Macaca mulatta: one gene and its partner. The protein of the gene in region 2 purifies or fractionates together with the protein of the main gene of each other region. This does not show direct contact. Links are inferred from orthologs where the notes say so. Each region holds a gene or a part of one and is shown on either strand. Other genes may lie near its edges.

The links. Proteins that work in one complex are often made in the same cells at the same time.
Region 1: the proteins of GET3 (region 2) and UBL4A purify together in Homo sapiens (affinity purification with mass spectrometry; 4 studies listed by BioGRID and IntAct, with this or other methods). This does not show direct contact. The link is inferred for Macaca mulatta from reciprocal best matches to the Homo sapiens genes GET3 and UBL4A.

What each region holds. Positions count from the first base shown.
Region 1 is NC_133426.1:160,668,931-160,673,055, forward strand, and holds the start of UBL4A (ubiquitin-like protein 4A), read right to left. Parts: upstream 2,817-4,125; 5' UTR 2,809-2,816; coding exon 2,761-2,808; intron 2,558-2,760; coding exon 2,452-2,557; intron 2,204-2,451; coding exon 1,995-2,203; intron 1,877-1,994; coding exon 1,766-1,876; 3' UTR 1-1,765. Other genes in the region: SLC10A3 (P3 protein), read right to left, coding at 3,735-4,125. UniProt on the Homo sapiens protein: As part of a cytosolic protein quality control complex, the BAG6/BAT3 complex, maintains misfolded and hydrophobic patches-containing proteins in a soluble state and participates in their proper delivery to the endoplasmic reticulum or alternatively can promote their sorting to the proteasome where they undergo degradation.
Region 2 is NC_133424.1:13,293,266-13,297,310, reverse strand, and holds the start of GET3 (ATPase GET3), read right to left. Parts: upstream 2,853-4,045; 5' UTR 2,844-2,852; coding exon 2,683-2,843; intron 1,851-2,682; coding exon 1,703-1,850; intron 1-1,702.

The sequences.
Region 1 (4,125 bases), on a different chromosome or scaffold from region 2:
GACAGCAGAGGTGCTACAGAGAAGGTGCTGCTCTGGCAGTGAGGCAGTGAGGGAGGGATTCTGTGGAAGCTGCAGGCAGCCACCTTTTCATCCTTGGAGGTGGTGGCCTGGGATGTGGCAGACACAAACGCAGAGGGAGGCAGGAAGACACTGGAAGAATTGCTCCCCTGCTGCCAATGCCGATACCACTGGGCTTTTCACTTTCATAAGCCAAGAAATTTCCGTTACTGATTAAACAAATTGCCTTTATTGTTAAACCAATGATTGGATATCAGAAACAGCCTAGCTAATATAGCTCCTTTTGGATAAAAGTGGAAGTCTCACATTCACCTTTAATGTTATTTCATTTTCCAAAATCAATTTCCTGGCACCACGCAAACAAGAGCACTGGTAAATGTATCACCTGAGCTGCAGGCCACCCATGCTCACAAGTGTGTCCCTGCCATAGGTGGCTTTGAAGCCATATACATGGCTCTCCAGCTCTCGTGGGGGGCCAGGGGCTTCTGTGTGCTCTTCAAAGCCTTCACCCATTGGGCCTCTGTCCATCTTTCCAGCCCGGGGACCCAATATTTGCCCCATCAGGCCCAGGCAGGAGGGCCTCCAGCACGTGCAGCCCCGACCACACTGTGAGCGGCTCACTTGGCAAGGGTGGAGGGCCCAGAGTGGCGTCCTCCTGCTGTGGCTTCCTTCTAGCCTCTACCACCCCTGGGGGCCTCCAAGGAGCAGGTGGCTAGATGTCCTCTTGTGCCCATGCACAGGGCACAGTGGAGAAGGAACCGGAACCCAGCCCATGTTTCTGTCCCCACCCTGGCACCCCAAGGTTTCCTCTCAGGCAACAAGGAGCACACGAAGTGAGCGGCTGTACACAGGTGGCTGATGTGTTCATCTTCCACAGGGAGGCGAGTGCTGGGGACGAGGACAAAGGCCTATGCCCAGCCCCAGTTCTGACATTGCCTTGCTGAGTCACCCATCAGCCCTAACGCTTCCTGGAGGAGACAAGCAGACAGGGTGCCCAGAGAGGAGCTGTGTCACTAAGGGCCAGGACACCCCATCTCTGGGTCACACTTGGCCACTGCTTCGCTTTTGGCTTCAGTTTGTTTACTGAACAGAAGGGAGGGGGGCACTGTGAGACGAAGGACACTGACTCAGGTCGGGGAGTGGCCCTCACTGTATAAAGTCCGTGGCTGGGGACCAAAGTGGCACTGAGACTCCCCCGAAGTCACATCACAGAGCTGGGGTGACTTGCTGACTCCCTGGCCCCAACCTGCTTTTTCATTTGTCGAAAGCACACTGGCTGCAGCAGCTGCTGGGGGTGTGGTGGTTCCAGGGCTGGCTGTCACTTGGCCTCCTGCAGAGGTAAGCTGAAGGCTATGTTGGACCCGCCAGAGGTCAGGTGACAGCTGCTTTCCCTTTCAGGATTGGGAAGGAGTCACCTGAGGGTATATTCTCAGTGGGCTAAACATGACATGCCAGAGCCCAGCTCTCCAAGCAGCCCCTTCCTCCTTCTCACACCAAGGCACTTTCAGAAGCCGCTGGATTCCGACTGGGGCTCCGCCACTTCACCGCCAGTGCCTCTGCTGTGCTGGCTCACCTCTTCTGAGGGTGTGGAAGCAAACCCAGGTCAAGCTGTGAGGAGTGCCTAGCACGTGGCCAGAGCCAGGTACATGCCAGCTATTATTATGAGCCCAACTGCAACAGGTGAACACACTTAGTGTGACATGCTGCTGTGGCCTGGCACTGGGCACCTCCCCATGCTCCGAGAATGCTATTTGGAGAAGCCTTTCTCCATCGTCTCAGTCACTTCAGGGTGCAGGAAGCGGCTGGCCAACCGTTCGATGTCGTCCAGCGTCAGGCGGCTCAGGGACCTCTCGTAATCCTGGGGAGAGAAGGGCAGGAAGATTCAGGGGCTGCCAGTGGGGAGCCATACACTGCAACAGAGGTAGGGGCTGGGAGGAACTGGGCCTGGAGAGGATACCCAGGGTTACCCTTCTCACCCTCTGTAGCTGTTCCAGGACCCTGCTGGCATCTGCCGCACTGAAGTGGCGGGCCAAGACTTTGGAGATTAGCTGCCAGACATGCGGGGGTGGGGAGTCGGCCAGCCTCTGGGCCTCGCCTTCTTCTAGTAGCACCTTCTGCAGGGGTTTGACCACTAGGTTGAGCTTGGAGTTGGGCCCGATGCTATAATCCGAGAGTCGTTTCCCATCTGCCAAAGACAGATCGATGGGTTCCTCCTCCTCCGCCGCCGTGGGGGTGGCCCGGGACGCGAGACCGCCTCGGGCGGCGGGAGCGGAGCGCTGCGGCATCCGGCAGTGAGGCATGCGGCCGCCTCCCTTGGGGTCATGTGGCGCTTGGCGCCGGCACCCCAACCCGTTACACGGCTGCCGGCCTCGGCCCGCGCACCCCAGTCCCGCTTCCTGCGGGGCTCCCTGGGCGTCTCCTCTCCCTGGGTACCTGCCAGGGCCTTGCCCTTGAAAAGCAGCCGTTGCTGGCGCACGGGGACGTTCAGCTTCTCGGAGACCAGCTGCTTCAGCGTGGACACCAGCTCGTCCTCCGGCACCTGGCCGCGCGGAGGGTGGGAGGCAAGGGTTGAGGCCGCGGTCCCCAGGCGGCGAAGCCCACGCGTCCGCTCCCGAGGGCAGCTCTCCCGGCTCCCAGTCCCCGGCCCGGCCGCCCCGTGCCCGCCCTTGGCCCTGCTGGTCACCCTGCCAGGAGCCGGCGAGAGAGCGCGCCGGACCCGGCCGCCCGGCCCGGGGACCCTACCTGCAGGCTGCACTCCCGGCCCTGCAGCGCCTTCACCGTCAGCTGCATGGCGGTCGCGACGGCGTCCACTCGGGCCGGCGCGCACCCCAACCACCCCCCGCCGCGCGCCGCCGCCCCGGGCGCGCGCTGGAACCGCCCGCCGCCGCCGGAAGCAGCGAGAGGGGCGCGCCCGCCGCCCGCGCTTCCCGGCCCCGCCCTCCTGCCTCGTCCACGCCCCGGCCCCGCCCCCCGGCCCAGTTGCACCCCGGGAGGAGTGCCCCTGGGGTCCCGCCTAGCACACGCGCAGCGACCGCCCTGGCCGGCGGACCCCTCCCAAAGCAACAGCGCCGGGGAGTTGGGAGCAGGAACTAGTCGGGCCAGGTTGGCGTCATCTGGGAGCTAGGGAATGGAGAAGGAAGGACCAGAAGGTACGCTCGCCCCCGCAGACTGCCTGGACCACCCCACGCGCCGTTACTGCTGGCGGAACCTGGCCCTGCATACCCACAGACGGCGCCCCCCCCGCCGGCTCCCTGCCTGGTGGCTTTCTGGCTCCTCCTTTCTGGTCTGGCTGCGAAACACCCCACTGAGCTTGAGAGGGGGTAGGGGGGCCAGCCTCTGCCCTCATCCTCCCACCTCTCCTACAGTGGGGACACGCCCCGGGAGGGCTGATAGAGAAAGCCTATGCAGGGGTCACCGTGTCACCCAAGCTGGCCCTCCACCCTGGTCCACACCTACCCAGCACACTCTTTCTACCCCCACGCCCAGGCCCCAAAGGGCAAAGATTAGAAGGGACCCAAGCTTGCTTCTCTGTTTTATTGAAATATATTTTCTGGGCAGCGCCCACCTACCTAACTCAGCATGGCCTCTGTGGCACTGAAAGCTGGAGAATAAAAAATCAGTAAAAAAAATAAGCCTGGATTTTTCTGAGTGCATAGTGCATGAGAACTTTGGTGGAGTGTGGGGGCTGGGGCTGATGAAAGCTTGACCCAGAGGCCTCAGGAAACTGGGAACAGGCTACTGTAGATGCAGTGGCCAATGACCAAGGCCAGCATCTCGGAGGTGCCGCTCAGCGCCACAATGAAGGGGGCCTGGGAGGCATAGTCAGCTTGAAGGCGGCGGAGGGATAGCTGCAGCATGGCCAAGGCCAGCAGGCTGTTCTGCACCCCTACCTCAATGCTGACCGTCCGCCGCTGGGCCACAGGCAGCTTCAGACATGTGGCCAGGCAGTAGCCCACCAACAGGCCAACCAGGGGCACTGTGATACCCACCAGTACGATAGGTAGCCGGACGCCTGCCAGGATGAAGACCCCCATGCGATAGGCCAGGAAAAGGCCGCCCAGGAGGAGCACAAAGCTGAAGGGCTTGATGACCTGCAGCAGCAGCTGG
Region 2 (4,045 bases):
AGCCGGGCATGGTGGTAGGCACCTATAATCCCAGTTACTCTGGAGGCTGACGCAGGAGAATCTCTGTCTCCTGGGTTCAAGTGATTTTCCTGCCTTAGCCTCATGAGTAGTTGGTATTACAGGCACCTGCCATCGTGCCCAGCTAACTGTTTTATTTTTTTATTTTTTTGAGACAGAGTCTCGCCCTGTAGCCCGGGCTGGAGTGCAGTGGCCGGATCTCAGCTCACTGCAAGCTCCGCCTCCCAGGTTTACGCCATTCTCCTGCCTCAGCCTCCCGAGTAGCTGGGACTACAGGCGCCCACCACCTCGCCCGGCTAGTTTTTTGTATTTTTTAGTAGAGACGGGGTTTCACGGTGTTCGCCAGGATGGTCTCGATCTCCTGACCTCGTGATCCACCCGTCTCGGCCTCCCAAAGTGCTGGGATTACAGGCTTGAGCCACCGCGCCCGGCCCTGTTTTATATTTTTAGTAGAGACAGGGTTTCACCATATTGGCCAGGCTGGTCTCGAACTCCTAACCTCAAGTGATCCGCCCACCTTGGCTTCTCAAAGTGCTAGGATTACAGGCGTGAGCCACGATGCCCAGCCCTCACACAGCTTTAAATGCCAACCTTGGGACAGTGACTTCCAAATGAATGCCAACCTCCTCTGGGCTCCAGACTCACATAAACAAGCTATTGTCATGATGTTTCCACTTGGATTTCCAGTGGGCACCTCAGATTCACTGCGGAGAAAATGAAATTCTTGATTTGTCCATTCTACACCTACTCCTTTCCTAGTTTTCCCCATCCTAGCTGCTTAGAGAGACAAGAAAGACATGTAATCAATTCATTTCTTTCTCTCACCCATTACAACCAAGTAATCTCACTGGCTTACTTCCAAAATACATCCCTAGTGCGATGTGGTGGCTCATGCCTGTAATCTCAGCACTGTGGGAGGCCGAGGCGGTCAGATCATTTGAGGTCAGGACTTCAAGCCCAGCCTGGCCAACATGGTGAAAATCTGTCTCTACTAAAAATACAAAATTAACAGGCAGTGGTGGGGCATGCCTGTAATGCCAGCTACTCAATAGGTTGAGGCATGAGAATTGCTTGAACCTGGGAAGTGGAGGTTGCAGTGAGCCTAGATCGGGTCACTGCACTCCAGCCTGGGAGACACAGGATTCCTGAGTGTTTAAAAAAAAAGAAAAAAATCTCAAATCTGACTATGTCTCCCCCAGCATTCTGCCTCCACCAGAGTCCAGGATGTTGTCATCTCTCAACTGGTTACATCCCCAATCTCCTTGTTAGTTTCCATGCTTCTACACTGACTGACAATTAAATCTCCACCTGGCCATCAGAGGGTACTTTTCAAACATGAATTTGGCCACGACACTGCCCTGCTTAAAACAAACAGCTTTCCATTGAACCTGGAGTCAATGCCAAACTTCTTACCGTGGCCCATAAGGTACCACACTTTGTGGCTCTGATTGGTCTCTCCAACTTCTTCTTCCCCTACCCTGGCTCAATAAGCTTTAGGCACTCTGGTGTGCTTCCCGCTCTGCAATTCCTCATTGGTTCTCTTGTGAGTATGTTGAGGAAGGGGTGAAACAGGAGAGACACAGGATAAAGAGTGGATAGGACATGGTGGCTGCTGGTGTGTGCACACAGGAAAGGCTGGAAGAGGCCTTTCCCAGAAGTGGGGGCTAAGCCCTGCTCCACTCACCATAGCAAAGAGGTTGTCATAGCCTTTGACCTTAGTAGGCACCTTTGAGAACTTCTGGTCAAAAGCATCTGAGATGTTGTGAGCTGGGTCTGTGGAGATGATCAGCACACTCTCACGCCCCTTGGAGAGCTGGACTGCCAGACTGCAGCTGGGTAAAGGAAAAGTAAAAAGACAGGGGATGAGGGGTTGGGCTCTGTTCCCTGGGTCTGCAAGGGTAGTGGTAGTTTCCCTGGAGCAGGTGACCCGGATCAGCAGGGGCCTTGAGAGGAGAGTATGGGTTACGGTGGGATTGAGCCTCAATCCCTACAAAGGAACCCTCTCTGATTTATCTACTGACCCTTCTATGTGGACTAGAGAGATAAGGTTCAAATGACTGAGTATGTCTGGCCTAGTGCCTGCTGCTTCTTTGCTGGGCACACAGTGGCATGGCCCAGCTGTCCAGCCAGCATAGCTTGACTCCGTGCTCCCTTCTTTAATAAGCTAAGGGATCCCTTGCACTCCCTGGTAAGCACAGGATGGTTCGGTCCACTTGTCCAGGATAATCTGCCGCATGGACACCTCCTGCCTGTAGCTGCCTGGGACAGTCTGATCATGTGCCCTCTCCCTCGCTTTCCACCCTCACTCTCGCCTTGGACATAAAACACCAAGGTTTACCAAACTAGGATTGCTTGTTCTGGTGCCGCCCCTACCCACAACTCTGGATTCACTCAGGTACGGTCCAGCTGATGGGGACATCTAAGTGCTTCCCCGTCCCCCGGGCGCTGCACTTGAGCCCCAACATGGATGGTCCAATTCAGAGGGTGCTAGGGCTGCATTGAAGAGGTCTTTCTCATGTGCTCCAGGTAACTTCCAGAGAGTGAAACCCAAAGACCCCCGCCAGCCCCCTTGCCCGGGTCGTGGTGGAAAAGCCGGTCCTTGGCCTCCCCTTCGCCCAGTAGTATATCCTACACGCCTCCTGGCCCCCGCCGCAGCCTCCTTACCTGCAGGTGGTCTTGCCCACTCCACCCTTGCCCCCGACGAAGATCCACTTCAGGCTGCGCTGCTCGATGATATTGCTAAGCGTAGGCTCCAGCGGCTCCACATCAGGCGCATCTTCGAACTCCTCTGCCTCAACCCCCCACCCGGCCACCCCTGCCGCCATCTTGGAACTGGCTCACGTGATCCAGCGGAGCGCACCATACGAAGCACCTACAGGGGAAATTCTCTATCACATTCCTATCGAGGCTAGAAGCATAAGTTAATTTCCTCATTACTTCCATTTTAGGAGAAATATAAATTACATTTTCACTATTCTTTGCTTCCAGGGTTCACCTTGTCAACCTCTGGTCTATAATTTTCCAAGGGCTCCCCCTACCTAATGAACACATCGGTACGGTCCAGGCTACTCCCCTTCACTGATTGGGCCCTAAGTCTCGCAGCTCTCCTTTCATTGGCTACATCTTTTCTTACGTCCACCAATCACTCTCATGCTCCGGTAGCGCCAACCTCTCCTTAGCAACCAGCCAAACACCCAGTCCATGCCCTTTCGGTGAAGTTAGATTCCCGGTCCGCCTTGGCCTCCATAGGCTCAACTTTATGTCCATCATTTTCCCTCTATTATTCACGTTAGGTCCCAACCTCGCCTCAGGTCCGCCTCCTCTATTATTCAATAGGCTGTGAGCCACTTGGCTCTTGCCGCAAACCAATCATAGACAAATTGACTCAGTTGGCTGGCTATAGGTCCCCGGGCTGACAGTGGGTTAGAGTGGGCGAGTCCAGAGTTTTGTCCTGGACGCCCTGATCTCCCATGCCTAGCAGGCACCATGCCTGTAATTGCGCTCCGTTTGGTAGAAGGGACCCTAATTCCTAAAAGCCGCCTTGTATTTCAAGAGAAGACTCCAGTATACCATATTTCATGTTTGAACCTCTGTCCTGGAGCAGGAACACAAGCTGGGTTCCAGGCCCTTGATGGAGACCCCAGCCCATGACACTCTTAACTTTAGAGGGAGATTAGAGCCTAGAAATAACCCCAACTTCATCTGAATACTACAGCTCATAAACTAATCTGATTCTCTGGCCGGGCGCGGTGGCTCACGCCTGTAATCCTACCACTTTGGGAGGCCGAGGCGGGTGGATCACCTGAGGTCAAGAGTTCAGGACCAGCCTGGCTAAGATGGTGAAATCCCGTCTCTACTGAAAATACAAAAATTAGCCGGGCGTGGTGGCACGCACCTGTAATCCCAGCTACTCAGGAGGCTGAGGCAGGAGAATCGCTTGAATCCGGAGGGCAGAGGTTGCAGCGAGCCGAGATTGCGCCACTTCACTCCAGCCTCGGTGAAAGAGTGAAATTCTGTCTCAAAAAAA